Linked DNA regions of Macaca mulatta. The protein of the gene in region 1 interacts with the protein of each later gene in a biochemical or structural test. Links are inferred from orthologs where the notes say so. Each region holds a gene or a part of one and is shown in the gene's direction. Other genes may lie near its edges. The genes, in order: UBR5, OTUD5, PAIP2, UBE2E1 and PCK1.

Region 1 (4,792 bases):
TTAAAGTTCCCACTAGTGTCATATACCATAACTGTCCCTGTTGGTTTCAGGATCACCTAAATAGCTTAAGTTCTGCCACCTTTAGTCAGTCTTTAGATTCAGGGCACCTTGTTTCCTTAAGACAAGGGCCATATCAAGTCTGTAAGAACCACCAAAAACAGAAATAGAAATGATTGGCTATCCGGTATAAGTTCTAAGTTATCTGTTTTAATCTATTCCCAAGTTTTAATTTTCTGCCGTTTTTAAACCAGTATTTCCTCAGTCCAGTCAGCCAACTTAAATCTCATGAGTTTCTGCCTTCTACTGAAAGAAAAATTTGCTAATGACTCAATCTTAGAAAAAAGAAAACCTTCTATGAAGACCTCAGAATTTCCTGTCAACAGCTTTAATTTGTGAACCTTAAACTCTTATTGAAAATCTGTGTTTAGGGTGTAAGCAATATATCATGGTATCTTCCTCCCCCTTACCCTTCTCCTCTTTTTGGGAAGTCATCCTTCACATATTGTTGGTTTCATCCTGATGCATCTAGAGGACATAAGAATGGGGTTTCTGAAACAGTTCTCCCATGAATTAATTAGTCCTGCAAATTATAGGTTTCCAGAGTTACTGGGTAACGCTACAGTTTATTTCCCTCTTGGAGTGTATAATTCACTAGTAAAAGTATTTCTCTTCTTCCAACTTCTTGGAGATCCAGCAGTGAGGTCATCTACCCTGGTTAACCACATTCATCCTTGAAGAAACACTTTACATTAAGCTTGTTTCTTATCTATGAAATGAGTGGTTTGGATCAGCTTCATCTCCAGAGTACCAGTTTTCTATTTCTTTTCAGATTTTATAGATCCTGATACTTAGGTTTTCTCTTTTTTTTCTGTCCCTTTATATAGAATTCTAGATGAGCTTTCCCATGCAACTGTGCTTCAGGAAATCATAAGTTTGTTTAGGTTTCCTAGTCATTCTAGGAAGTTGGATATACTTCATTGTTAAATTGTGCGTTTTAAAATGATTAGATTAAAAAAAAAGCTTTTCCTTAAGAGAGAGAGACACATGCATATGTATGTATGAAGGGATGGATTGATGAGGAATGTTACATGTTCAGTGAAATATTTCAGGGAGGCGTATCCTTGGTTAAGTTAAAAAGCGTAAGTTAACATTTACTGAGCATCATTTACACTGTGTTGCACAAAGTTTTATTATAGATATATAACTTAGTGTTAACATGGCTTATTGCATGAATTTTGATGCATAGATGTTCCCCAATAATTACTATTATAAAATGATTCCGTATCACAGTGTAGCAGTAAATACTTTTTTTGCTTTATTATTTGCTTTATTATTTACATTATTTTGCTCCTTAATGCAAAATAACTTTTTAAGATAACCTGTGTGAGTTTTGAACCTAAGACCATATCTTTTGTTTGGTAGCCTTTTTTCCACTAATAGACAGTTTATGGAATTTAGCTGCAAGAAAGGCTCTTAGAAACCATTTAGTCCAACAGCCTCATGTTACAGATGAAAAGACTGAGGCTCTGTAACAGAAAGTCACCTTTTTTTCCTCTACTCTGGACTTACTTCCTTGGGGAAAAAAAAAACAACAAAAACCTGTCTTGAGGTATGAATGATCCCTTTCCTTTTTAGTATAAGAAAATATATTTAAAACCCAATTCAAAATAATATCTCCTTTCATAACAATAGGGCTTTGTGTATATATTGCCAGAGTTGAGAGTTAAATATTAACCTGTTAAATTCCTGTTTAGGTTTACTTTTGGACATCAAGCCCATCATTGCCAGCCAGTGAAGAAGGATTCCAGCCTATGCCCTCAATCACAATAAGACCACCAGATGACCAACATCTTCCTACTGCAAATACTTGCATTTCTCGACTTTACGTCCCACTCTATTCCTCTAAACAGATTCTCAAACAGAAATTGTTACTCGCCATTAAGACCAAGAATTTTGGTTTTGTGTAGAGTATAAAAAGTGTGTATTGCTGTGTAATATTACTAGCGAATTTTGTAGATTTTTTCCATTTGTCTATAAAAGTTTATGGAAGTTAATGCTGTCATACCCCCCTGGTGGTACCTTAAAGAGATAAAATGCAGACATTCCTTTCTCAGTTTATAGCTTAAAGGCCTGAGGAGCACTAGCAACATTTGGCTATATTGGTTTGCTAGTCACCAACTTCTGGGTCTAACCCCAGCCAAAGATGACAGCAGAACAACATAATTTACACTGTGATTTATCTTTTTGCTGAGGGGGAAAAAATGTAAATGTTCTGAAAATTCACTGCTGCCTTTGTGGAAACTGTTTCAGCAAAGGTTCTTGTATAGAGGGAATAGGGAATTTCAAAATAAAAAATTAAGTATGTTCTGTGTTTTCATTTTAACTTTTTTTATGGTGTTTAATTTGTGGTTGGCTGCAACTGTGTATCATGTATATGGAACTTGTAAAAAAGTTCGACATTCAGATCTTAAGAGATGAAATCACTTTTACCTACAAAAACCACTTTTATTGCGGTTTGACTGCATTGAGCTCTAGGATATTAAATGATATCACTAATATTTTGCATGTAATTTGCTCATTTGAGTGAGGGCACTTTTTTTGTACATATGATGGGGCCAATGCACAATACTTTTATCACAATCAACTTTTTCTTTGTATCCCTATTTCAACGAGCAGTCAGTCAAGAGGTTACTGCACTTCAGTTCTAACTAGACATTTGTACTAAGGTATTTCAGTTATGTAAACTCAGCCTGGGCACTTTCTGATAACTGTAAAATGTTTTATAAGATCATGATTATTGAAGATACATTTTGGAAAATTTTAAATGTTCGTGAGCAGCTTAACTACTTTTGTATCTAGCCTTTTTTAAGTATCTTGTTACATTTACTTTTTTAAATAAAGAAATTACAGAAGAAATGTCAAGTAACATTGAAGAAACAATAGTTTTTATTTATGTAGTTGTACATTTTTAAACTAAGGGCAATACACTGACATGGTTATGTGCATAAAAATTTTGATTTAAAGAACTGGAAGTTTATATACACCTGGACTATAAGAAACAGAAGAAAATCAGTCCACATTTTACAGTTAGCAGAGAATCCTAAATGGCACTGGCCTGGCCACCTTTTCTTTTTACAAATGGGGGAAGTGAAGTGTGACCCCTTACTTGGTATAGGAAGTTAACTTACACCTAATAACTGACAGGTTTTTTTTTTGATGACCCATTAATTATGTAGCCTAGGATTAATATCCCAAAATTACTCTGGTTTAAGTAGCTTTATTCAGTGGCATAACAACACTGTTTTCTTCACTAAGTCTTCAGTGAAGTGACTTAAAACAGTCACTTTACATATTAAAAATGAGGAGAGCAATTCTCTGGAATCTCTCAGTTCCTTTGTAGGACTTCCGGCCTTGAGGATAGTCTTCATGTTCAAAGGCACTATGCTTTTATTATATAACTTCCTTCAGAAGACTGAACCACATGATATTCTCAGCCCTGTTAACACTAAAAATATTTAAAGCTGAATGATAGTAGTGACTCATTGTATTACTTAAAACTTATATAACACGCTGTATTAGATGTGTGTAAATTAGCCAAAGGTTATTTTACAAAGTGAGACATTGGTTTTTATGTCTAAATGCTATTTCTGAATAAATGAAATAGTAATTAGATCAAGAGCTGATTAGCATCAATGTGTTTGAAAGATATAAAACTTATATATCACCTTAACCTCTGTATGCACATGATGGGATTGATAAAATATTAAATGAGAACAAACTAGGTATGATTAGGACATTTGAAACCCTAATTGTGAATTTATTTTTAATAGTTACTGAAATGAAAATATTTAAAATAATGCACAATGTCTTAAGTCTTCCTAAATCAAGATTTTGGTTAAAAAATACTTTTAGTAATATTAAAAACAGATTTTTTTTTTAAGTAAATCATAAAATGGTTCTAAATGTAAAATAAAGACATGTAAAATAAAGTTCTCTTTTGGTCTTGTTTAGTGTTTAAATCTAACAATTGAAAACAAATTTAGGAAGAGAAGACCAAGGATGAACTTTACTGAGTGTTTTCAGAGTTTGCTACTACTATTTTTTTCCCTAAATCATCTGAATACCAAGACTACCCAGAATAATGGATAACTGGGGCAGACTTGAGAGGGTATTTTAAAGGAATGATTTCACTAGTAGCTGCCCCCAAACAACATCCCTCCCATAAAGCTACTATTTTTACATGTTTAAAGGTAGTCAGCAATTCCTATATTTAAACTCAAGTTGAGATAATCCCTTGAGGCAGTAGTTTCCATGCGTCTGTAGTAAGATTCAGTTGTAGAGTCTGTTAATGCAGATTCTTAAGCATTCCTCATCCTCTTGCCTCCTTTCTGATTCAGTGAGTCTTCGGTAGAGGCCAGAAATCTTCGTTCAGATTATCCCAGGTGATTGTGAAACACTGCCCAAAGAATATTTCCTTTCTATTTACAAATATAATGTCCTGCTGAAAGCTCCTGAGAGACAAACCTTTCCTACTGACAACTACTTACCACCTACGGAAAAGTACATCTGTTGAGAAACTAGTCCTAGGTTGGATTCTTCCTCCTGATAAGGGGCTGGTGGAAGTGCTTTCAATAGACTGTGCTTGGGTAGTGAATGAAAATATTTTTACTGTTTATATCAACCTATATAAGTAGGCATAAACATAGATTATTTAAACACCATTTGATTACCACAGAAGTGATAGTTTTATGAAAAACAATAGGAATGTATTTAAAATGTGACTTTTAAATTT
Region 2 (6,378 bases), on another chromosome or scaffold:
TTAGAGAGTGAGCTCAGGCCTTTGGGGAACTGAAAGTATTTCAGTCCAGCTGGGGAGGAGAGTGTGGGGCTGAGGAGAGGAAGGATGGAGAGGTAGGCCAGATAACAAAAAGCTTTGACGCTATGACGCGAATTTTGAACTTCATCCTAAAGATAGTGGGGACTTCTAAAGGCTTTTAAACAGAAAAGTCATGATGAAGTTTGTGTTTCAGAATGATCATTCTGGCTATGGAGAGTAGATATAGAGAAACAGTCCTGGAAGGAAGAAAAGTAGGGAGGAGGCTTTTATAATAGTTTAGGTGGTAGGGGACAGTGGCTTGGACTAGAGTAGTGGCAGTAGAATTGGAGAGTCTAGAGATTTGGGAGGTAGAATTGGCAGGACTTGGGATTGACAGGCATGTGGGAGTTGAGGAAGAGGGAGCAGTCAAGGTTGACTCCCAGGTTCTGGCTTGGACAACGGCTGGATGGGAGTGCTATTCCCTGGTAAAGGGAACATCAAAGCTGTTAGCACTCAGTGCTAGGTACATAGTAAGTACTTGGTGAAGGGTAGCCATGATTACTATCTTGAGTTCAGTTTTAGATGTGTAGTGAGTGAAATATATGGGGCTAGGGTGAGATGGTCATGAGAAGATTCAATGTGATAATGTGCATCTGGCACAGAGCCATGAACACAACAGGCCTGGTAAACATGAAAGTCCCCTCCTCCCATTAAGTCTCATGAGCAGAAAACACTACTTAGAACCCATTTATTACTTACACCTTTCAGGGAAGAACTTCAACTAGGGTTAGTATCTGAAGGGAGGCAAGGCTATACTCAAAACAGCTTTCCCATGGTCTCTTTCAGTCAACCTGTTGTATGGCTTGTCTCCTAAGACTGGAAGTGAACTCCAAATACCTTCTTGGTTCATCAGCTCATCTGAACCCCATAACCATTCCCTGAGGTAGTCTGGGCAGGCATTATCATTCCCGTTTTACACATGGGTAATCTCAAAAGCAACACAATGACTTGCTCAAGATCATACAGTTGGTAATGGTCCATCTGTGCCTGGAACTGAGGTCTTTCTGGCTCCAAAGCCTACGATCCTTCCACTGCACCACCATGCAGACTACTTTATTGAACACTTCCTATGTGCTGGGCACAACACCAGGCCCTTCAGAAGCATTAATCTCTGATCCTCAGATTGGAATTATCATTGCCAATTTATAGAATAGAAATTGAGGATGGGTGCTCACTTCGCACCACATATACTAAACTTAGAACGATACAGAGAAGATTAGCATGGCACTATGCGAAAGGATGACACGCAAATACGTGAAGCGTTCTATAAAAAAGTAAACAACAATAACAAAAATTGAGGACGGGGTGGGAGTTAAATGACTGACAAAGATCAATCAGACAGGAAGCGCAGAGCTAGAATTAGCGTGTAGCTCTCCAGCTACTCAATAGCAGGGATTCTGCCAACCCCATTTCGAGACGCTGACTGGTGACAGAGCTGATTCATAAACCTCGATCGACCCAAGCAAACTCAGTTTTAGAAAAAGGCTGGGCTTGGCCAGGCGCGGTGACTCACGCCTGTAATCCCAGCACTCTGCGAAGCCGAGGCGGGAGGATCGCTTGAGCCCAGGAGGTGGAGATCAGCCTGGGCAACATAGCGAGACTTTGTCCCTACAAAAAAGTGAAAAAAAAATTAGCCGGGCGTAGTGGTGCGCGCTTGCGGTTCCAGCTATTCGGGAGACTGAGGCGGGAGGATCGCTTGAACCTTGGAGTTGGAGTTTGCAGTGAGCTATGATCGCGCCACCGCATTCCAGCCTGGGCGACAGAGTGAGACCCCCGTCTCGATTAGAAGGGGGGGAAAAAAAAAAAAAAAAAAAAAAAAAAAAAAAAAAGGCTGGGCCGCGCCTGCGCACTAGCCATAGGGCCGGGGAGGTCAACCCGAGGGCGAGAGTGCTGTGGTGCCAGAGAAGGCGTGTCTGTTTCCCAAACAACCACTGTCCCCACGGTGCTTGTCTGTCCCAAGGTTGGTCGGTATGACGCGAGTGACGGCGTCTTTTAGCCAATCACCGCAGAACTCAGGCTGTTGCCGGGGTGAAGCGGTGTCCGCCTCCCCCGGAAGGATATTTGTAGGTGGGTGGGACCGGAAGTGACGCTACAGGGGAATGCTATGCTCTGGGAGTGTTGATGTTTTCCAGTCATTCCGGCTGACAGCGTTCAAGTTGGAAGCCTGGAGGGGAGGTGTTTTTCCTGTCGTACGTGGGACAGGCCACGCTGTCCGTCCGCAGTACCGACGACTGCGAGTCAGAGCTTCGGGGAGAAAAGTGAAGAGCAAGACGGGACCGACGGGGAGAAAGGCTGGGAACCAGGGTGTCGACTTTGACTGAAATTTGAGACGGAGGGCACCGGAGGGCGAGCACTCGCCTGTGATTGGCCCGTGGGCGTCGTCGAGGACCCACGCAGCTGCTCAATTGGTTGGTGTTCGCAATTGTTGTGGCTGCGGCGGCGATTTTGCCCACGTACTTCCGAGCAAGGGGCGGGGCTGTGCCCTGGCGCGCGTGCGCAGCGCCCCGGGGCCCCACCCGGTAGTGCAAGAACCTGCGAGGGGGCGGAGCGAAGAGGTGCTTGTTTTGGTTCTGTTTCCTTTGAAGCAGAAGGCCGGAACAAGCGTAGCAATAAATTTGCTGGACTTGGAGAGAAGGTTCCGACAAACTCGCCGCACTGCCTTCATCTTGGACTTTACATCCGGGTTCTCCTCCCGGCGTGACCCGCGCGCCGCCGCCGCCGCCGCCGCCGAGGGTTCTCGAACCGGTGCCGCGATCCCTTTATCCGGGTTTCGCCGTTCCCGTCGTGCTTAGCGCACTACATTAGCCCCCCCTCATCCGGGTTCTCTCCCGGCGTGCCTCGCGCCGGGTTTGTTGGGGGGTACTCGGCGGTGCAGCCATGACTATACTCCCCAAAAAGAAGCCGCCGCCTCCCGACGCCGACCCCGCCAACGAGCCGCCGCCGCCCGGGCCGCTGCCCCCGGCGCCGCGGCGCGGCGGGGGTGTGGGCGTGGGCGGCGGCGGCACGGGCGTGGGCGGCGGCGATCGCGACCGTGACTCCGGCGTCGTGGGGGCCCGTCCGCGAGCTTCGCCACCGCCTCAAGGCCCGCTACCAGGACCGCCGGGCGCACTTCATCGCTGGGCGCTGGCCGTGCCGCCTGGTGCAGTGGCGGGTCCCCGGCCACAACAGGCTTCTCCACCTCCTTGCGGGGGCCCAGGTGGTCCCGGCGGCGGTCCCGGCGACGCGCTGGGCGCAGCGGCGGCGGGTGTGGGTGCCGCGGGCGTGGTGGTGGGTGTGGGTGGTGCCGTAGGCGTGGGCGGCTGCTGCTCCGGGCCTGGGCACAGCAAGCGGCGACGTCAAGCTCCCGGGGTTGGCGCGGTTGGCGGGGGCAGTCCCGAGCGTGAGGAGGTCGGCGCAGGCTACAACAGTGAGGACGAGTATGAGGCGGCTGCAGCACGCATCGAGGCTATGGACCCTGCCACTGTCGAGCAGGTAAGAGCTGCGGGATGAGGGGTGGGCGGCTACGGCAGATGGGACCCCCAGACTGTGAAGAGCCTCAAGGAAGGCTGTTTGAGATCGCCCCAAGGGATTTAGGCGTTTTCACTGGGCCTGATAGTCTTCTCTGGTGGTAGGGGTGTGAGATGCCTTCTTTCCTCCCCTCCAGGGATTTGGGGCTAGAGGTCTACGATAAGGTGGCAGACTTAAAGATGGGATCCGAGGCCTCTTTTAGGGTCTGTAATCGTCATTTCAGTCCTTGGGACCTCATCTTGTAGGGCCAATAGGTGGGAATTCTCCAAGAGACACAGGTAGGATCGCGCCCCTCTTGAGCAGGAGTCTCAGGTCTTCCAAAAGACCTAGGTCTGTGTTCAGTGGCTTAAGAGCTCTTTTCCTTTGGGATAGAAGTTTGAGATTCCTCCTCCAGGAAAGTCAAATAAGGTGGAGACCTCAGAGATCGGGTCTGAACATCCCCAAGGAGCCTAAGCCCTTTCAAGAGTCTAAGACACTCTGCATGTAGGACAGTCCTCTCCTGCTTCGCTAGGTAACACGGCACAGGACCACTGAATAGCCAGACCTGAGACCTCAAGGGTCCTAAGTCTGTCTTCAGGGGCCTGAGAGTCCTTATTGTAGAATCAAGGTCCTGACACACACAGACACACACACACACACACACACACCCTTTAAGGACAGGGATCTTCTAAGCTTTTTCCAGGGATGTAAGACTTTTCGCAGGGAGATATGATTCCCTTGCCCTTGGGGACAGGGACCGAAACCAACACCCAAGGACCAGCAGCTTTACTTGAGTACAAGAGACTCATCCGCTTTCTGAGTGACAAAGGTCTGCATTTCCTATCAGTGGCTGAGACCTACCTCTTCGGAGACAAGGCCCTGACTCTCTTCAGGATCTTAAGCTTCTTGTAAGAAGAGATGGGCCCTCAGCACCCCCACCAGGGGCCTGAACCTTTCTTCAGGAAAATGAAGACTCACAGCGTTGGATCCTAGGGCCTAAGATCTATCTGCTTATGGACTGAGGTTTTTAGAGACCGAGTCTGAGGCCTCTTTGGGGGCGTGGTGTTCTGCTGCAAAGGTCTCAGACAAGGTGAAGCCTTAGGAGATTCTTCTTCTTAAGACTAGTGTCTGAGTGGTTTTGGGGGTCCGAGACTCCCTACCCCACAAGCATATGTGACCTTTTTACCCCAATTATAAGGGACTGAAACATACCTTGGGGATACAGTATCTCATTTTCCCTTTTGTAACAGGGGTTTGAGGCCCTCCCCTCTTTGGGCCTAAGCTTCTTGTCAGGGACATATGACCCTTGCCTTGGGAACTTGAGCCTGAGACTACTCCTCAGGGGACATGGGCAACATGGGATCCCAGAGATCATGTCTGGGGCCTCCCTACAGATCTCTGCCTACATTTAAGGGCCTGAGACCCACTCTGCCAAGGACACTTGAGCTTTCCTTCAGGGATGGGAGACTCATACATACCCTGGTGACTTGTGTGTCTAGAGGTAAGGTCTGAGCTTCCTCCTCAAGGAACTTAAGGTGTACCCCTGAGAAACAGGAGGACTCCTCCCCCGACGCCTGAGCCCTGAGACCCTTCCCTTGGGGCATGGATAAAGGATCCCTGTGGAACAGGGTCCTGAGTCTACCTCCAAGGGTTTGAATCCTACCTCAGGTGTGCGAAGGCCTGTTCCCCACCTTAGGACCTGATTTCTGAACCTGTCCTTAGGGTACTGTCACCTCACCTCAGACAACATACATACACCCTAGTCATAGGGGTCATTTAGGGATGTAAGATTTCCTGCCTCGGGGACTTGGGCCTCAGATTCCCAATTCCTTTCCGGGACATGAGTAGAGTAGGATTCTGAGGAAAAGAGTCTGGGCCCGAGCTTCCTCTCTGGGACAAGATATCGTTTGCCTTAGGGACTGGGGCCTGGCTCCCACTTGGGCATGAGGCTCTCCCCCTACCACACCAGGGATTCCTTTCTGTACCGGGAGAGGAACGTGAGGTCATCCTCTCCCATTGGACAGAAGGACCTGGATGCTCTTCAGGGTCATATGAACCCCTTATCCTGAGCTCCCTCGTGGCCAGGGCCAAGAAGATCCTCCTCCTTTCTATGAGAAGATTGTCAGGTCCTGGGGACATGGAGTCTGGAGCCTCCCTTCTGAAACCAGGAGCGATTCAGAGTTTCTCCCTGACCTAGCTATGCTTGCTTCTCACCTCTAGATCATATAATAAGTTTTGAACTGCTTTTGACAAGCTTTTTTCTTCCCAGGGACAGGAAAGGGGTTTGGGACATCGCCACTCTGGGGAAATTCTCCTCCCACATTCCTTTTCCCCTTGGCTCAGGTAAATCTTTCTGTACTTCACAGGGGCCCCAAGCCTTGTCTTGAGCTCCCTGTTCTTGCTCCCTTCCTCCCATCATTAATTCTGGCACGATAAGCCATCTGTACTCAAGTGTCAGGACCAGTTATTTCTTCTCTCTGTGGTTGGGTAGTTTCTTTCCTTCTCTAGAAACAGGGAGCCATACATCCCTGGTTCCATCGACAGAGAGAAAGAACATCCTGTGCTGCCATGGTAACTCAAAAACACCTTGCAGTGTGCCCCTTGCAGTCCCTCTCTTATACTTGTCCCCATAAGAACATGGGAGTAAGCCGGGCATAGTGGTCCATACCTGTAGTCCCAGCTACTTGGGAGGCTGAGGCGGGAGGATCACTTGAGGCGGGAGGATCACTTGAGCCCTGGAGTTCAAGACCTGTTTGGCAACATAGTGAGACCTCATCTTTTTTTTTTTTTTTTTTGAGACGGAGTCTCGCTCTGTCGCCTAGGCTGGAGTGCAGT
Region 3 (6,519 bases), on another chromosome or scaffold:
AGGTTAGATCATGTTATCAGCTATTGAGTAGTATAAGACATCAGGCTTATATTTGATACAACTTATACTCAGATGAAAAGATACTGGACTGGGCTGGGCGCGATGGCTCATGCATGTAATCCCAGCACTTTGGGAGGCCGAGACAGGTGGATCATTTGAGGTCTTGAGTTCAAGACTAGCCTGGCCAACATGATGAAACCCAGTCTCTACAAAAATACAAAAGTTAGCTGGGTGATAATGGCACACGCCTCTAATCCCAGCTACTCTGGAGGCTGAGGCAGGAGAATTGCTTGAGCCTGGGAGGCGGAGGTTGCTGCACTCCAGTCTAGGTGACACAATGAGACCCTGTCTCAAAAAAAAAAAAGATACTAGATGCCTGAAACTCACTGTACAGTGAGGAAATCCAGACATGGCAGAACTTGACATGGACCTAGAGAAAAAGCAGACACAGAATGGGCTATGAAGGAGAGATCAGAACTATACCTGAAGAACCTGAGAGGTTATTAAAAATCTGTTAGTTTTAGGCCAGGCATGGTGGCTCACGTGTGTAATCCCAGCACTTTGGGAGGCCAAGGCGGGCAGATCACGAGGTCAGGAGATCGAGACCATCCTGGCTAACACAGTGAAAACCCGTCTCTACTAAAACAGTACAAAAAATTAGCCGGGCCTGGTGGCAGACGCCTGTAGTCCCAGCTACTCGGGAGGCTGAGGCAGGAGAATGGCGTGAACCTGGGAGGCAGAGCTTGCAGTGAGCCAAGATCACACCACTGCACTCCAGCCTGGGCGACAGAGCAAGACTCTGTCTCAAAAAAAAAATCTGTTTTCACTTTCAATCCCTGGACTTTTTGAAGTCAGTTTTTAAAAATTGAATTTGCTCTTCATCATTTAATCACTTGATGACTTGATGCCTCAGTCTTCCAGACTGTGTTTGGCGGCGGCGGCGGTGGTGGTGGTGGTTGTTTGAGGTGGAGTTTCACTCTGTTGCCTGGGCTGGAGTGCAGTGGTGCGATCTCGGCTCACTGCAACCTCCACCTCCTGGGTTCAAGTGATTCTCCCACCTCAGCCTCCTGAGTAGCTGGGACTATAGGCATGTGCCACCATGCCCAGCTAATTTTTTCATTTTTAGTTTTTTTTTTTTTTTTTTTTTTGAGATGGAGTTTCACTCTTTTTGCCCAGGCTGGAGTGCAATGGCTTGATCTCGGCTCACCACAACGTCTGCCTCCCAGGTTCAAGCGATTCTCCTGCCTCAGCCTCCCGAGTAGCTGGGATTACAGGCATGCACCACCACCCCAGCTAATTTTGTAGTTTTAGTAGAGACGGGGATTCCCCGTGTTGGTCAAGCTGGTCTTGAACTCCCGACCTCAGGTGATCCACCCGCCTCGGCCTCCCAAAGTGCTGTTTTATATTTTTAGTAGAGACAGGGTTTCACCATGTTAGGCTGGTCTCAAACTCCTGACCTTAAATGATTCACCTGCCCAGGCCTCCCAAAGTGTCGGAATTATAGACATGAGCCACTGTGCCCGGCCGACCATGCTTGCTTTATAAAGCAAGTGATATGTAATATAAAATATAAATTGGATGGTTTGGAGAGTCCCATGTAAGCAACTGATGTACTTCATTTACTGTTATCAGAAAACATTAGCTGTGGCCAGGCACGGTGGTGCACACCTGTAATCCCAGCACTTTGGGAGGCCAAGGCAGGCAGATCATCTGAGGTCAGGAGTTCAAGACCAGCCTGGCCAACATGGTGAAACTCTGTCTCTACTAAAGATACAAAAAATTAGCTGGGCATGGTAGCACGTGCCTGTAATCCCAGCTACTTGGGAGGCTGAGGTGGGAGAATTGCTTAAACCTGGGCAGTTGAGGTGGCAATGAACCAAGATCATGCCAGTGCATTCCAGCCTTGGTGACAGAGTGAAACTCCATCTCAAAAAAAAAAAACAACAACAAAAAGGAAAACATTAGATGTTTTAGCTATCCTCTCCTATTAAAACATTAAATCATTTGGAAAAAAAATATGAAGCTTTCCAATTGTGCAACTTACCGTGTATCATCTGCCTCTAACACCTATTCATGATGCCTGCTAATAAACAGATGCTCATTAAGAACTGAAAGAATCAGCTGGGCCCGGTGGCGCATGCATATAATCCCAGCACTTTGAGAGGTTGAGGTGGGGAGGATCACTTGAGCCCAGAAATTCGAGACCAGCCTGGGTAACACAGACCTTGTTTCTACAAAAAATAAAAAAAATTCAGCTGGGTGGTGTGGTGGTGCACACCTGTAGTCCCAGTTACTTGGGAGGCTGAGGCAAGAGATCAAGGCTGTGGTGAGCCATGATCACACCACTGCACTCCAGCCTGGATGGAGTGAAACCTTGTCTCAAAAAGAAAAAACCCTGAATAAGTAAGTAAATTAACTGTGGTGTTGTTCTTTTAAGGTTAAAAACGACAACCAACATCAGCCATGAAAGATCCAAGTCGCAGCAGTACTAGCCCAAGCATCATCAATGAAGATGTGATTATTAACGGTCATTCTCATGAAGATGACAATCCATTTGCAGAGTACATGTGGATGGAAAATGAAGAAGAATTCAACAGACAAGTTAGTTTTTTGTACAAACATGTTCTTTTTCATAGTCCATTCCGGCCCTCAATATGATTGTACTTGTCCGTGAAATGTGTTTATCTTGTCCTTTATGTATGAAGTATGTAGACTGATGTGCCACCACTCCTACTTATTTGGCTGCTGATTACTACCAGGCTTAACTGCTTATGGAAATAACCTGGGGAGCTTGTTTCAGGGTCCCACCCTAGAGATTCTGAATCAGGAGGATGAGGGTGGAGCCTGGAAAACTTTTTCAAAGCTCCCAGATGGTTCCAGTGAGCAATCAGATTTGGAAACCACTGCCTTACGCCAGTCAGATACACCAGTCAGATTGCTGTGAAAGTCAAGAGAATTTAGGAGTCAGGAGTAGACAGGCACAGAAAAAAGAGACAGGCATCTCTTTTTACTTCTTCCCTGCCACTCTCAATGGAAAAAAGAATGTTCTACTAATAAAAGTAAAAACAGAAAAACCCTAAACAGATCTTCGCAGGTCATTATGGTAAGCATTTTTTTCCTTAGCACAGAAGCAGAAAAGAAAGTGTGACCTTGTGCCTTTAAATGGTTTAGTTCAAGATATTTTAAGCCATTCCTAGTGATATCTACCAAGTGTGCTACAAATTATCTTTATTATAAATCTAGATAGAAGAGGAGTTATGGGAAGAAGAATTTATTGAACGCTGTTTCCAAGAAATGCTGGAAGAGGAAGAAGAGCATGAATGGTTTATTCCAGCTCGAGATCTCCCACAAACTATGGACCAAATCCAAGACCAGTTTAATGACCTTGTTATCAGTGATGGCTCTTCTCTGGAAGATCTTGTGGTAAAAACTTATTTTTCATCTTTTAAGACCTAGTGCAACTTTTGCATAAGTGGAAAAGCCAGTTCCCATCTATTTAAGAATTCTGCATCTTCTTCCCCTTCAGAAATTGTGCTGCTTCTGGCTGGGCGTGGTGACTCACGCCTGTAATCCCAGCACTTTGGGAGGCCGAGGCAAGTGGTTGACTTGAGGTCAGGAGTTTGAGACCAGCCTGACCAACATGGAGAAACCCCATCTCTACTAAAAATGCAAAATTAGCCGGGCATGGTAGCACATGCCTGTGATCCCAGCTACTCAAGAGGCTGAGGCAGGAGAATCTCTTGAACCTGGCAGATGGAAGTTGCGGTGAGCCGAGGTCGTACCATTGCACTCCAGCCTGGGCAACAAGAGCGAAACTCCATTAAAAAAAATAAATAAATAATATAAAAATTGGCTGGGCATGGTGGCTCATGCCTTTAATCCCAGCACTTTGGGAGGCCGAGGTGGGTGGATCACCTGAGGTTGGGAGTTCAAGACCAGCCTGGCCAACATAGTGAAACCCCATCTCTACTAAAAATACAAAAATTAGCTGGGTTGGTGGTGCATGCCTGTAATTTCAGCTACTCAGGAGGCTGAGGCAGGAGAATTACTTGAACCTGGGAGGCGGAGGTTGCAGTGAGTGGAGATTGCACCATTGCACTCCAGCCTGGGCAACAGAGTGACTCTTGACTCAAAAAGAAAAAAAAAATACAAAAATTAGCTGGACATGGTGGCAGGCACCTGTAGTTCCAGCGACTTGGGAGGCTGAGGCAGGAGAATTGCTTCAACCTGGAAGGCAGAGGTTGCAGTGATCCGAGATCGTGCCACTACACTCCAGCCTGGGTGACAGAGTAAGACTCTGTCTCACAAAAAAAAAAAAAAAGGAAAAAGAAATTGTGCTGCTTTTTACGATGGAAGCAGAGTCTCATGACATGGAATCACTTCTGGCAACACTGTGGAGCTAGTCTTAAATGGACTTCTAGCCCCTGCTTTTAGTCCTGATGTTGCCCTAGGGTACTTAAATGTCCTAAAGAATTAATAATTTAAAAACACACACAATATTATCACGTTACTTGCCTATACAAAAGTAGCTTGATGGAGAAGTTTTGCTCTTTAATCTTATTTTGGCTGGGCTCAGTGGCTCATGCCTGTAATCCCAACACTTTGGGAGGCTGAGGCACGTGGATCACAAGGTCAAGAGTTCGAGACCAGCCTGACCAACATGGTGAAACCCCATCTCTACTAAAAATACAAAAATTAGCTGGGCCTGGTGGCACATGCCTGTAATCCCAGCTACTCGGGAGGCTAAGGCAGGAGAATCGCATGAATCCGGGGAGTGGAGGTTGCAGTGAGCCAGGATGGCGTTGTTGCACTCCAGCCTGGGAGACAGAGTGAGACTTCTCAAAAAAAAAAAAAAAAAAGAAAAATTGGGGAAGAGGGGAAAATTGTTACAACTAAACATCAGCACTAGTGAGAACTGGCTGGGTCCACTGAACTAATCTGTACACTGTAATTACCTATGAAGCATTAAATACAAAAACCAGTTCTTTACTTGCATCCCAACATGCTCAGTTGTCTGAGCATGTTAATTTTTTAAAAGGATTACAGAGGATTTATTATACAGCCAACCTGCCTGAGTTGGGCATTTGGAAAACATTCTTCTAAGGAATGGTGTAGAGAGCACTGAAGTTTACATTGTGGTATAGCCTTTGTTGCAGTAAGTGATGGTAACCCATTTGAGCAGCCGTATGATCTGAATAGTCTGTGGGGTATGATGACTTATGGCTACATTAGTCACCGTAAATAATCCCAGTTACCCTGCAGAGTAACACTCTTGGCTGAGCATAATATATAGCTTTAATCAGGACCCAGTATAATTCCATAGTACAGAAGCTGGTTTGTTCTTCTCAGTCTATGTGATACTACTTTGTTTCATTCTTATTCTTCTGTTGCTCCGAAAGATAGTTCATTTAAGAACACTGTGCCTGGATATGGTGGCTCATGCCTGTAATCCCATCACCTTGGGAGGCCAAAGTGAGAGGATCACTTTGGAGTTCGAGACTAGCCAGGGCAACAAAGGGAGACCCTATTTCTACAAAAAGTTTAACTTAGCTGAGTATGGTGGCACCGGCCTGTGGTCCCAGGTACTTGGGAGGCAGAGGCTAGAGGATCATTTGAGCCCAGGAGGCCGATGCTGCAGTGAGCTGTGATTGTGCCACTGCCCTCCAGTCTGAGCAACAGAGCGAGTCCCTGTCTCAAAGAGAACAGGAATGCTGCTTTTTTTCCTTAAACTTCATACTTTTAAAGTATAGATACATTATTTCCCTTGCTGGAATGGAGACTATATCCTGTCCAAAGAAACTGCTATGTATAAATTACGAAACTAAAATTATTTCTTCAACATGTTTAATATTATGCATTAGTCTTGAAGTGATGTAGGGTCAAATTCAATGTAAAAGCCTTCCAGCATACCTACATTTCAGGCCCTGGAACCTGTCCTCATTTCTTTTTATTTTTATCAATTTGCAGTCTAAAATACCACAGAGGAAAATTTCTAGGTGTTCTTCCTAGATGCTGACAGGTCTGCTTAGGAGAGTAAAGATTTAGAGACATAGCATAACATTGGTACGAGTCTCTAAGACTCAGACTTTGGCCTATCTCCCCCCACCCACGGCGTTTTTTTTTTTAATTGATGCAAAAAATTGAATCCCAGAGAAAGATGACTTATCTGAGTTTACATAGAAGTTAGTTAGGGGCAGGGCTGGGATTTCAGACTTAGGTCTTCTGGTTCCCCATGTCATTTTCTTTTCCTGTTGTATACCATGCTTCCTGTGGGAATTAGAAGACGGCAATTGTAGAAAAACAACTCCACATTTTTTTTTTTTTTTTTTTGAGACGGAGTCTTGCTCTGTCACCCAGGCTGGAGTGCAGTGGCCGGATCTCAGCTCACTGCAAGCTCCGCCTCCCGGGCTTACGCCATTCTCCTGCCTCAGCCTCCCGAGTAGCTGGGACTACAGGCGCCCGCCACCGCGCCCGGCTAGTTTTTTGTATTTTTAGTAGAGACGGGGTTTCACCGTGTTA
Region 4 (6,280 bases), on another chromosome or scaffold:
GAAGAGTATGAACTAGAAGATATCTTAGACCCCTTCTAGGCATAAAATCCTGTGATTCCTGTGACCCCTTCTAGGCATAAAATCCTGTGATTGACTGTATGTTTCTTCTGGAAGGTTTCTTATATTTTCACCAATTTTAGGTTATAAAAATCCCATGTCTTCTTTTCTACCCTGGTGACAAAAAAAAACAAACAAACATAAAAGCAACAACAACAACAAAAAAACCCCAAATCCATGTCCTAAGAAAATTCCACTCGAGTGGAATTATTAATAATTTACTTTGCATAACAGCTAATAAATCACCTTATTTACAGATACACATTTGACCCTGCCAGTCAGTAGAGCACAGGTATTCCTGCCTTTTATGGATGAGGGAACTGTGGCTCAGGGAGGTCAATTTAGCTTTCTAGGCCTTGTAGTTAATAACAAGGAGAGATAGAAAGTTGTGTATGAATTTTTTTCCTCTAAGACAGCTGTATACAGGTCTTAAAAATAATTTGACATAAAGATTAGTCTTCTGAGAGGACTGGATTCTTTTCTAAACATTTTAAAGTTTTTATTCCCTCTCATCAGGTCATGCCAAAACCATAAAGCACTAAACTAAGCTAGCTGGTATTGGAGATTAGAGGGAATGGTACACAAAAGAGGGCCAGAAACCTTCCATACAGGTGGTTGGGAAACCACTTTTCCATATAGGAGGAGCCGTTAGATTTCATGATTTCTTTCACAAGGAATCAGTCCAACCCAAGCATCAGTAACGCAACACAAAATATCAATATCATGTTCTGTTTCAAAAGAATTATTATTATAGCTGGTATTCAATTTATGCAAACCAATATTAAAGAAAAAATTCAGCTACTGTCTTGATCACTTCAGCAAATCAAGCCTTTTATTTTCCTGTGATCTCTGCTAGTTCTTGTCTTTATAACACATGACTTTACTGGTTGTATTCATCATGTGGATATATATTTTTAAGTATCAGAAATCCAAATTTTCATAGGAGGAAATTTCAATTTTAATAACTATTTTTAGATTATTTTCTTCATCCTGAGTTTATTTCATCTGCTTATTGTTTTCTCCTGAATTTACACCTTTTCATCAGAACAAAAATACAATCGGTTTTTCAGAAGTTTAAAAAATGTTTCAAATACACAGCAGAGACGTCATCATTTTTATATACTCTACCACGACTCCTGCAACCAAACACTTAAGAAAGGTTATGTCTGGAGACTTTTTCAAAATCTATATGCATTTCAGTGGTGGAGAAATAGTTCTGTCTGGAAGCAGGAGGCTGAAATTATGACCCTGAAGATATCGCCCAGCTTTTGAACTTCTTATTCTGTGACAACTCCTGGCAGATACAGGTTTCCTGGTAGGGATTGAGCAAGAAGCATGCACAATTACTTTATGAGTCTTGATAAAGCTGGAGTTTCAGGTTGATGGTAAGAAGCAGTTCGGCTGGGTCGTGAGAATGCTTGTTTTCCTGGTTACTGGATATGCCATGGGCATATATCTTGTGTTGTCCTGTAGTAACTGAAGCCACTGTTGCGCGGAAAATGATGGCAGTTTGAATGAGATAATTTAGAGCGAGCTATGGAAATCTGAGGCTGTCTCCTTAATGTACAAGACCTTGTATGTGTGGCACTGGTGTATCTGAATGGCACACATCTCTTCAGTTCCCTTCAACTGAAATGACAAATATGTGAGAAACTAAATCGTAATTTGACAGATTAATATTAAAAAAACAAATTTGGCAAAAATGCTACATAAGGAACAATTCAGAAGAACTGCTGATCATTTCAAAAATATTATTTGAATAGCATTTATATGTAGCTAACGAAAGCACTGCGATCCCCAGAACTTTCCATCCAATTTCCAAAAACCAAACCTTGTATCTAATGTAAAATGACACCAAAAATTCTAAATCCAGTCTAATTCAGTAGTATATAGCTTATACCCAGTGATTTCTCACATTCGCAAGCCCCGTTACACGTTGGTTTTACCTGTCACCAAAACCTTTGTATCACTCTTATAAAACCACATCACTTTCTATAAAAAGTGACTGGAAGAATCTAACATTGTAAAACTGCACGTGCCTCGCGTGACCTGAGCAGAAAATTCCTGGTTTGGGATTTTCTCACAGGCGTGCCTAAACTGACCTCTGCTCCTAGCAGGTAAATTGCTAGAAGGAGAAGCAAGTGTCAGTCCAAAGAAAACCCCTGTTGTGTGATTTTTTTATTCTCTTTAATCGCTTTTTAGGTGGAGTTCCCGCTGCATTCTCTAAAGTCTTTGCCACCACCAGATTACCATCTTTTCCACCAATTTGCCACCTCCCTACCCCTCTCCTTTCCAAAAGCCCTCACTGGAAAGAACTTTCTCTCGTGACCCCCCTATTCCATCCAGTTCCAATCACTCCCAGCGACCCCATCTCCATTGGCTTCCCCTCTCCCGCCCAGAATCCAGGTTCCCAAACCACTTAAGAGAAAATTCACACCCCTCGCCCCCTTCCCGGGCGTCCGGAGGAGGCGCTGGGGTGGGGGTGTGGGGGGGGCACGGTTTCCTGGGGTCTCCTGGGTCTTCCTCGCGCACCCCCAGGAGGTGTTGCAGGGGGAGGGGAGCGAGGGTGGGTGGGACCGGGCCGGGTGGGGGAGGGGTGAGGGCGAGGAGGAGGAGGAGGAGGAGGAGGCGGCGGCGGCGGAGGAGTGGTGTGTGTGCGAGCGTGTGTGGCTGGGGGAAGCCATTGCCTGTTTAATAGTTGCTGTTGCTGCACTTCCGCTTCTCTCCCAGCGAGAGAGACACGAGTGGCCAGGCCCAGCCGCAGCCGCAGCAGCAGCCGCCGCGGCGGCACGGAGGAGCCAGACACAAAGAGAGGTACGGGGATCCCCCCAGCGGCCCGCCGCCCCCCGGCCGCGCCGCCGGGCCTCGGGGACACCCCTCGCCGCCTCCCCCGACTCGCGCCGCCGGGGCCGCCGGGCCGCCGGGCACGGGGCTGGAGGGGGGAGCGGAGAGGGGCTGGGGAGCCCCAGGGGTCCGGGGCCCGCCCGCGGGGGATGGGCAGGGACCCCGGGCCGCTTGGGGTGCGGGGGCCGCCCGCATCGGGGGCGGGGGTCATTGTGGCTCGAACTGTCAGCGCTGCCCCAAGAGCCCCCCACTGGCCACCGAGGGGGCCGGGAGCGGGGGTGGGGGGGAGTTGGGGGAGCCCCGTTTTCCCCAGGGGCGGGGGCTCACGGGGATTAACCCCTCCGGGGCGGAAGGGCTCATTGTTATTTCTTCGCTGCGGAGGCCGACCCCCCCCCCCCACTCCCCGCCGCAGCCCCTATCCCCCTCCAGGAGTGGCGATCGGGCGTGTGCTCCGGACCCCCTCCCGGCCGCGCAGCCGTGAGCGGGGCGGCCCAGAGGCAGGCAGGCCGGGAGGGGCGTCGGGGCGCGGCGCGGGGGGGCCTCGGGCCTTGTCGCCCGTGCCCCCCGCCGGCCTCTCCCTTCCCCCACCCGGGCACCCGCTCCCCGCCTCCGTCCCCCTGTTTCGGCTTCCTCTCTTACTCCTTCCCGCCCCTCCTCTCTTCCCGACCTCGCCAAACTCCTCTCGTGGCCCCACAGTCTCTCACCCGGGCCACCGGCCCCCCACCCCACGACCCCCGGAAAGCGGACAAAAACAGCCCCGAGGCCGGCCGGCTGCCGGGACCTTCCCTCCCTGCCCCGCCGTGGCGCCCCGCGCCCCCGCCCTGCCCTCCTTCGCCTCCCGGGCTACTCCCTCCCTGCCCAGCGGAGAGCCCCGGGGGGGGCGAGGGAGGGGCCGCTCTCCTAGCTCCAGACCGTTTTCCCACAGCGTTCCCCACTTGGGGCCAAAAATAAACAAGCCGCGTCCGATTTGCAAAAGCCTTAATGGGCCTGCAGACTTTGAAAAGCGAGTGGAGGGCGGTGGGCGGCCGCGTGCGCCCCTGGTCAATGCCCTCCTGACAGCACCCGAGTTCCTTATTTACACTGGCTGCATGGTTTGTGTGTTTCTGTTTTGTTTCCCTCCCCCTGCAGGGGCTGTTTGCGGGGTGGGGTGGGGGGTTCGCTATGTCGGATGACGATTCGAGGGCCAGCACCAGCTCCTCCTCATCTTCGTCTTCCAACCAGCAAACCGAGAAAGAAACAAACACCCCCAAGAAGAAGGAGAGTAAAGTCAGCATGAGCAAAAACTCGAAACTCCTCTCCACCAGCGCCAAGAGGTACCGTACTCTTTTTTTTTTTCCATAGGCTTCCTATTTTCCGAACTGCCTCTTGCTGCATTTGGTCTGCCTCCCAATGAGGATAGCTTAAACGCTCCTCATGGTTTATGTGTTCTTAAAAATGAAAGAAGGGCCTTGGAAGCCCTAATTATTTTCTCTATTGCTGCTTCTGTTTTTTTTTTAATCATTGCTCACATGCAGCTATTGTGGCTTGCCTCTCGCATTTCTTGCTGAAGTTTGTAAGAATCTTCATTACTTTTATTAGTGACCCCCAAATCTGATTTCAGATTTCTTGTCCTACTAATGGTCGATCTGTGACCTTCCCCAAGGCCATCATCCCATTTCTTAATTACTAATACCAGCCCAGACAACTGCATCAAAATGAATTCTGTGACCATTTTACCTTCTCCTCACCTGTTGCATGGATGATCTTTTCTAAATAGAGCTTTCTTCACAAATTGCATAAGGAATAAAACTCGTATTAGCAGGTACAAAATTGAGTAGGTGAAGACGTGTTTTATGGTGGAATTTAAAGAGATTTTTCTGAGAGTTGAGGCAAATGAATGAATCAGTAAGTGATTATAAAATAGTTATTCTAGGTTATTTTTGTGGTTCTCTTTTGTTCTCTTTAAAAACTTCAGTTTACCAAATTTCAGGGAAACTTGTCTTTTTTTCATGCTATTTGCTGTCCTCATGCTGTGAAAATGTTACGTTGCTTTATTTTTTCAATTTAAGCAGTCTCTCTTTTTCTTTATTCTTTTCCTCTTAAGGCTCTGGAGGTAGCTACTTGTTACTCCTGCCATCCTTCAGTAATATCCTCTGATCGCCATGACCCTTAAAATAATCTTTAGTGGATTCCTAGGAGCCCTGAGACACCCTTTCATAAATCCTTCTGCTATCAGAGTTAGGCAGTTGTTAAAAAGGTGGCAAACCAGGAAGATAGTAAGAAGTCCAAATGATGGGTTAGATAGGGATACCCGTCTTAAAAATTTTTAAAATAAAGTGGAACATGAGACTTTAGATCTCTCCACTGAGTAGTGAGCCTGAAAGTCAGGGTTTGAGAGTTTGTTCTGTCATTTTGCCTGACTTGTAATTTGAAAACTTGGCAGTGTTTTGGTGACCTAACCATGAGCTGATGAATGAGTGACTTTTTAAAAATAGTGTGGAGGTCTTAAGTGGCAAGGTGCCTCTGCAAGATTGTTCTCATTTTTATAGGTTTGGTTTGATTGTACAGCTTCTCAGGAGGCCTAACTGACCCTCACTGATTAGCCCTGTGCGGTTTTCCTGGAACCTGGCATCTACTCTGCCCACTTGGGACAGGCCCTTCCTTAACACTGCCCCCCACCTCAATCCTCTAGGCTCTTTGATCCTCATTCACTTTTTGGCCTCACGTGCTCAAGCCGGGATACTTGCTTTTGGTAATTTGCATTTTTATATTTTGCTGGATATCCCTGGTGTACATGAATATATTTGGGGGTAAAGACCCAGTTATCAACTAGAAAATACTCTGCTTTTATTGTGAGTGAATTACAGAGAGGGGGATTTTTTTCACTAGACATACTTTGTCCTTTTATTTTAAACAAGTTAAAAATTTATCTGGAAGTTCTGGAAAAGAGATGGTAGGTGTAGAAAAATGAAAGGTGGGAAGCTACAAATAGTAATTTTACCTATAAATTAACATCAGTGCTTTTGTTTTGTTTTTGCAATGAATTTAGCTCCTTGATAATCTTGCTGAAAGAGTAGCTATTAGTGTTAAAGCAGACCTAAGGTTAATAGCAAAAGGTAAAAAAAAAAAAAAAAAAAAAAAAAAGGAGAGGGACAGTGTATCCAGGAAAGAGAATGGGGAAAATTGATGTTAGTGGGACCCTATAGAGGCTGTTCTGTGAAGTATATTGATTTGAAAGGTAGGTGTTGCCCATAGAATTGGAAGGGGCACATTCACCAGGAGAAGGAGTGAAAAAGAAGCCTGAATTGGCAGACTAACAGGCTGCTAACTGCATGTTGGAAAGTGGTTTCTAAATCGTGGGTAGAGGAAAGCCCCCCATTGCAAGTGGTCTGAACAAGAA
Region 5 (5,527 bases), on another chromosome or scaffold:
TCCCATTCAGCATGGGGCCGCTGGGCTCGCCTCTGTCGAAGATCGGCATCGAGCTGACGGATTCGCCCTACGTGGTGGCCAGCATGCGGATCATGACGCGGATGGGCACGCCCGTCCTGGAAGCACTGGGAGATGGGGAGTTTGTCAAATGCCTCCATTCTGTGGGATGCCCTCTGCCTTTACAAAGTAAGTGTATTATTTCACAATCAAAAGTCAAAATAAAAAAAGAAAGCTGAACAACAAACCCCAGCGGGTGCCTCGGGGACCCCCAAACAGAGCCCTGGCGCACTGACGTGGGAGGGGTCCTTGTTCACAGAGCCTTTGGTCAACAACTGGCCCTGCAACCCGGAGCTGACGCTCATCGCCCACCTGCCTGACCGCAGAGAGATCATCTCCTTTGGCAGTGGGTACGGCGGGAACTCGCTGCTGGGGAAGAAGTGCTTTGCTCTCAGGATAGCCAGTCGGCTGGCCAAGGAGGAAGGGTGGCTGGCAGAGCACATGCTGGTGAGTCTGCAGGAAGCCCTGACGTGCAGATGAGAGGCCCGGGGGGTGGCAGAAACAAACAGCATTACAGTTCCCATCCAGCAAGACCCAGTACACCTTTCCGAGCATGCAGGTTCCCAGACAGATTGGGAAACCCCACCAGTAATGATTAGTGCACACGTATACGTCACTTTTGAAGGGCCCCAAACACCAGGGGACCATCGAGATCCTTTGGACTTCATGATTCTGGGAATGTTTGTTTGCACTGATACCTGAAGAAATAGATCTTGAGGGCCTACATTCCAACCTCTGGGCTGAAGTACCAACCTCGGGGAGAAGGGAACAAAGATCACAATAAAGAATCTTGTCCCCGGTGGGCGCGGTGGCTCACGCCTGTAATCCCAGCACTTTGGGAGGGCGAGACGGGCGGATCACGAGGTCAGGAGATCGAGACCATCCTGGCTAACATGGTGAAACCCCGTCTCTACTAAAAAATACAAAAAACTAGCTGGGCGAGGTGGCGGGCGCCTGTAGTCCCAGCTACTCGGGAGGCTGAAGAAGGAGAATGGCGTGAACCTGGGAGGCGGAGCTTGCAGTGAGCCGAGATCTGGCCACTGCACTCCAGCCTGGGCAACAGAGCCAGACTCTGTCTCAAAAAAAAAAAAAAAAAAAATGAACCTTGTCCCCAACAGATCCTGGGTATAACTAACCCCGAGGGTGAGAAGAAGTACCTGGCAGCTGCATTTCCCAGCGCCTGCGGGAAGACCAACCTGGCCATGATGAACCCCAGCCTCCCCGGGTGGAAGGTGGAGTGCGTTGGGGATGACATCGCCTGGATGAAGTTTGACGCACAAGGTGACTCTTTTAGACCCAACTGTTGGTAACGATTGGACTCAAGTGAATTATCGGCCTTCAAAACATGCCACGTTCTCCTTGATCCAGTGTTTGGATTTTTAAATTCTGTTAGTCCAGAGTTGGCCAAACCTTAGAAATACGTATTCTGTAAGAATTCTTCAATTTAATATTCAATCTGGATTGAAACTGGGCCATATGTTGCTGTTTGTTTACATACATACATTTGTTTAAATGGTATTGGTGGAAAATTGTGGAGGAAGCAAGAATTGTAAACATCTCAAAGTTGCATATGATGCTTGGATGAAAAGAGATAAATGTACATTCTAGGGAGGGAAAAAAGATTTGAGAAGTTGGCATAGAAATTAGTCCGGCAAGATATAAGAGTGTATGTTCTGCTTTGCCTGGCACCCACTACTACTTCTCTGGTTTAAATCTCCAGGTAATTTAAGGGCTATCAATCCAGAAAATGGCTTTTTCGGTGTCGCTCCTGGGACTTCTGTGAAGACCAACCCCAATGCCATCAAGACCATCCAGAAGAACACCATCTTTACCAACGTGGCCGAGACCAGCGAAGGGGGCGTTTACTGGGAAGGCATTGATGAGCCGCTAGCTTCAGGCGTCACCATCACTTCCTGGAAGAATAAGGAATGGAGCCCAGAGGATGGTGCGTCCCCGCCAGAGGCCTCGGTGTGCTGGGCTGCAGGGACTGCCTGTTTGAGCCAGGCACTCATGGGCCTTTCTCCATCTTATAGGGGAACCTTGTGCCCACCCCAACTCGAGGTTCTGCACCCCTGCCAGCCAGTGCCCCATCATTGATGCTGCCTGGGAGTCTCCGGAAGGCGTTCCCATTGAAGGCATTATCTTTGGAGGCCGTAGACCTGCTGGTGAGGTTCTCGTTCATTTAGGCTGGGAACATGGGTGTGCTGGGTACCGAAGGGCATCTGTGAAATCTCTGCTTTTCCATGACCTTGTCAGAGGGTGTCCAGGGGCTTCCTTTCTTGAGCTTCCTTTCCAAAGAGCCAGAATAATTGGCAAGTTCAAATGTAGAACCCTTCTGGTCACCTGGAACCTTTCTGAATCCTTAATCTATCACAGCTTGATCAAATTTTACTTTTTACTTTGTGGCCTCAGTCACGTAACCTTGACTTAGCAGTTTTCTGCAGTTTAGCTTGGTGAATGCAAAACTAGCTCGATTACAAAGTTATTGTCTTTCCATGACTTTCCATGTTGTGAATAACACCACTGGTTGTAGAGGCTGAATTTTAAAGCCTCTAATGAATGTTTCTTTTTTTTTTTTTTTTCCTGCTAAAGGTGTCCCTCTAGTCTATGAAGCTCTCAGCTGGCAACATGGAGTCTTTGTGGGGGCGGCCATGAGATCAGAGGCCACAGCAGCTGCAGAATATAAAGGTAAGTCAAAGTCCTGATTTGAAACCACAGAGAAGTGGGATTAGAGCGCTCTTCTTCACTCTTATGTCTCTCTCCTTCTCTGTGTCTGTGTGTGGGGAAAGAGAGAGAGAGAGGAGAACAAAGCATGCTGATGTCAACAATCAATGGGGCCAGTTTTGCCTAGGAGAGCATCATTTACCAATGGAAGCTCCCTCTCTGTTTAACAGGCAAAATCATCATGCACGACCCCTTTGCCATGCGGCCCTTCTTTGGCTACAACTTCGGCAAATACCTGGCCCACTGGCTTAGCATGGCCCAGCACCCAGCAGCCAAGTTGCCCAAGATCTTCCATGTCAACTGGTTCCGGAAGGACAAGGAAGGCAAATTCCTCTGGCCAGGCTTTGGAGAGAACTCCAGGGTGCTGGAGTGGATGTTCAACCGGATCGATGGGAAAGCCGGTGCCAAGCTCACACCCATAGGCTACATCCCCAAGGAGGATGCCCTGAACCTGAAAGGCCTGGGGCACATCAACGTGATGGAGCTCTTCAGCATCTCCAAGGAATTCTGGGAGGAGGAGGTGGAAGACATTGAGAAGTATCTGGAGGATCAGGTCAATGCTGACCTCCCCTGTGAAATCGAGAGACAGATCCTTGCCTTGAAGCAAAGAATAAGCCAGATGTAATCAGAGCCTGAGTGCTTTACCTTTAAAATCATCCCCCTTCCCATCCATAAGGTGCGATAGGAGCGAGAGAGGGCAAGTTTTCCCAAATTGATGCCACCATAATAATCATCACCGCCGTGCGCAGATCTGAAAGGCACACTTTGATTTTTTTAAGGGGAAGAACCACAGAACACCAGCTAGTAGCTAATGAAAATGAGAAGGGAAATCTTGGCATGCCTCCAGAAATTCACACCCAATGCATAGTTTGTTCAAATTTAAGGTTACTCAGGCATTTGATCTTTTTAGTGTTTTTTCACTTTAGCTATGTGGATTAGCTAGAATGCACACCAAAAAATACTTGAGCTGTATATATATGTCTGTGTGTATATGTGTGTGCATGTACGTCCACATGTGTCTGTGTGGTATATTTGTGTATGTGTATTTGTATGTACTGTTATCGAAAATATATTTAATACCTTTGGAAAAATCTTGGGCAAGATGACCTACTAGTTTTCCTTGAAAAAAAGTTGCTTTGTTATTAATAAGTGTGCTTAAATTATTTTTATACACCATTGTTCCTTACCTTTATATAATTGCAATATTTCCCCCTTACTACTTCTTGGAAAAAAATTACAAAATAAAGTTTTATAGAAAAGATGGATTTGCTTTGCTCGGTTTTTCTTATTTGAGCTACCAAGCAGAGTGAACTCTGATTAAGCATCTTGTGATTTAAATCCCTGCCCCCTCCCCAAGAAGGTGTGGACGTTCAGAATCACACTTGAAGAGCGGGTGGGTTGTCTGGTCCCAGGGAGAAGGAAGGAGCAGATGGGGAGGAATGAGGCCGGGAACCGTGGTTGGGGTTTTCTGAATTTGTTGAAGCCACTAGTTGGCGCCCTTTAACAATTCTACAAACCTTTAGATGGTGAGGCTTCTGTGGCTGGACTGGGAAGGTTTAATGTCTGCTTTTTGACAATTTGGGTCTGGAGGGGGCTTAGGCTTCCACAAAAATTACTTTGTGGACAGTTTCATAGGCTTTTGCCTTTTAACTCTTCAAAGCAACAGTTTTCTCAACTGTCATCCCCGCGGGGGAGTGGGGAAGACAAGTGTTCTTGAGAAGGAAAAGCTGACAGGATCTGGGTTGAGCAAGCATTAATTGAGCGCCTTCTGTGTCCTGGACATCATGCCAACACCATGGGCAGCCCGAGAAGAGAGGTGGGTGGTTTGGACCCCAGCTCTGCCTTGAACCTCACCTGCTCTCCTCTACTCCCAGTGTTTATTGGATATTCCAGAACGGTACAAACAAACCATAAACCTTATATTACAGGTTCATTCTGTGTAAATACTATTATCTTCAAGTTGTAGTTTCTTTCTTGGGTCCAGGCTGTGAAATTGGCTTCACCCCTACCACACCCCAGCGGACAGGCTTGTTCTCATGTCACGCTCCACCCCTCCAGTCTCCTCAACTGGAAAACTTGCCTCTTTTCCTCACTTCCTCTGCTCCTTACGATGGCTTCACATGGAAGGTGAAGCCGAGATCACCCCAATTTTACAGGCGAGGAAACTGAGGCCAGGAGTGCCTATTGGGGCTGAGAAATTGCCAGGATTTCCTTCCCCATTAAGGAGCTGAGAGTCCTAGCTCCAGACTCATTGGCTTGTTCTAACATCAAAACCACTGATGGGAAAAACCACTTAGTGGAATTCAATGCTATCTGCTGTATTAGTTTAAATCAGTGGCATTCAAACTTGTTTCTCCTTTTCACTGCAGAACACGTTCTTGACATGTACTTGACTCAGAGTCCCACGACTAAAGGAGACAGAGCTCAAGGCAGCCCACCTGAGGCTGGGGAGGGAGTCCAGAGTGCAGGCCACCTGGCCTCCATTTCCCCACCCCTTGGGGGCCTTTGGGCAGCTCCTTGAACCCCTGAAAGGGGCCACCAGGATAAAGTTTGTTAAAATGCATGCCTTGTGCCCCACTGTCATATGATGGGCTTTTGGTACTCTTCACTCCCCCAGCAGGCAAAGACACTGGCCATCCCCAAATTCCTTCCCCTCCTGCACAGCGTCACCCACCTGCCAAGCAGCCTCATGTTGGACCATTTGCCAGCAGGCCCTGCAGGTCTGGGGGACAGCCTAGAGGTGGTG

The links.
Region 2: the proteins of UBR5 (region 1) and OTUD5 form a complex in vitro, tested with the Homo sapiens proteins (2 studies listed by BioGRID, with this or other methods). The link is inferred for Macaca mulatta from reciprocal best matches to the Homo sapiens genes UBR5 and OTUD5.
Region 3: the proteins of UBR5 (region 1) and PAIP2 form a complex in vitro, tested with the Homo sapiens proteins (2 studies listed by BioGRID and IntAct, with this or other methods). The link is inferred for Macaca mulatta from reciprocal best matches to the Homo sapiens genes UBR5 and PAIP2.
Region 4: the proteins of UBR5 (region 1) and UBE2E1 form a complex in vitro, tested with the Homo sapiens proteins (2 studies listed by BioGRID). The link is inferred for Macaca mulatta from reciprocal best matches to the Homo sapiens genes UBR5 and UBE2E1.
Region 5: the proteins of UBR5 (region 1) and PCK1 form a complex in vitro, tested with the Homo sapiens proteins (2 studies listed by BioGRID, with this or other methods). The link is inferred for Macaca mulatta from reciprocal best matches to the Homo sapiens genes UBR5 and PCK1.

What each region holds. Positions count from the first base shown.
Region 1 is NC_133413.1:112,597,576-112,602,367, reverse strand, and holds the end of UBR5 (E3 ubiquitin-protein ligase UBR5), read left to right. Parts: intron 1-1,754; coding exon 1,755-1,967; 3' UTR 1,968-2,926; downstream 2,927-4,792. UniProt on the Homo sapiens protein: E3 ubiquitin-protein ligase involved in different protein quality control pathways in the cytoplasm and nucleus. Mainly acts as a ubiquitin chain elongator that extends pre-ubiquitinated substrates.
Region 2 is NC_133426.1:49,031,065-49,037,442, reverse strand, and holds the start of OTUD5 (OTU domain-containing protein 5), read left to right. Parts: upstream 1-2,145; 5' UTR 2,146-2,934; coding exon 2,935-3,528; intron 3,529-5,812; exon of another isoform or gene 5,813-5,886; intron 5,887-6,378. UniProt on the Homo sapiens protein: Deubiquitinating enzyme that functions as a negative regulator of the innate immune system. Has peptidase activity towards 'Lys-48'- and 'Lys-63'-linked polyubiquitin chains. Can also cleave 'Lys-11'-linked ubiquitin chains (in vitro).
Region 3 is NC_133411.1:148,224,409-148,230,927, forward strand, and holds the start of PAIP2 (polyadenylate-binding protein-interacting protein 2), read left to right. Parts: upstream 1-2,437; 5' UTR 2,438-2,463; coding exon 2,464-2,601; intron 2,602-3,243; coding exon 3,244-3,423; intron 3,424-5,830; exon of another isoform or gene 5,831-6,267; intron 6,268-6,519. UniProt on the Homo sapiens protein: Acts as a repressor in the regulation of translation initiation of poly(A)-containing mRNAs. Its inhibitory activity on translation is mediated via its action on PABPC1.
Region 4 is NC_133407.1:24,676,348-24,682,627, reverse strand, and holds the start of UBE2E1 (ubiquitin-conjugating enzyme E2 E1), read left to right. Parts: upstream 1-2,739; 5' UTR 2,740-2,871; intron 2,872-4,029; 5' UTR 4,030-4,062; coding exon 4,063-4,214; intron 4,215-6,280. UniProt on the Homo sapiens protein: Accepts ubiquitin from the E1 complex and catalyzes its covalent attachment to other proteins. Catalyzes the covalent attachment of ISG15 to other proteins. Mediates the selective degradation of short-lived and abnormal proteins.
Region 5 is NC_133415.1:110,363,358-110,368,884, forward strand, and holds the end of PCK1 (phosphoenolpyruvate carboxykinase, cytosolic [GTP]), read left to right. Parts: coding exon 1-186; intron 187-316; coding exon 317-504; intron 505-1,175; coding exon 1,176-1,338; intron 1,339-1,777; coding exon 1,778-2,002; intron 2,003-2,090; coding exon 2,091-2,222; intron 2,223-2,649; coding exon 2,650-2,745; intron 2,746-2,951; coding exon 2,952-3,406; 3' UTR 3,407-4,040; downstream 4,041-5,527. UniProt on the Homo sapiens protein: Cytosolic phosphoenolpyruvate carboxykinase that catalyzes the reversible decarboxylation and phosphorylation of oxaloacetate (OAA) and acts as the rate-limiting enzyme in gluconeogenesis.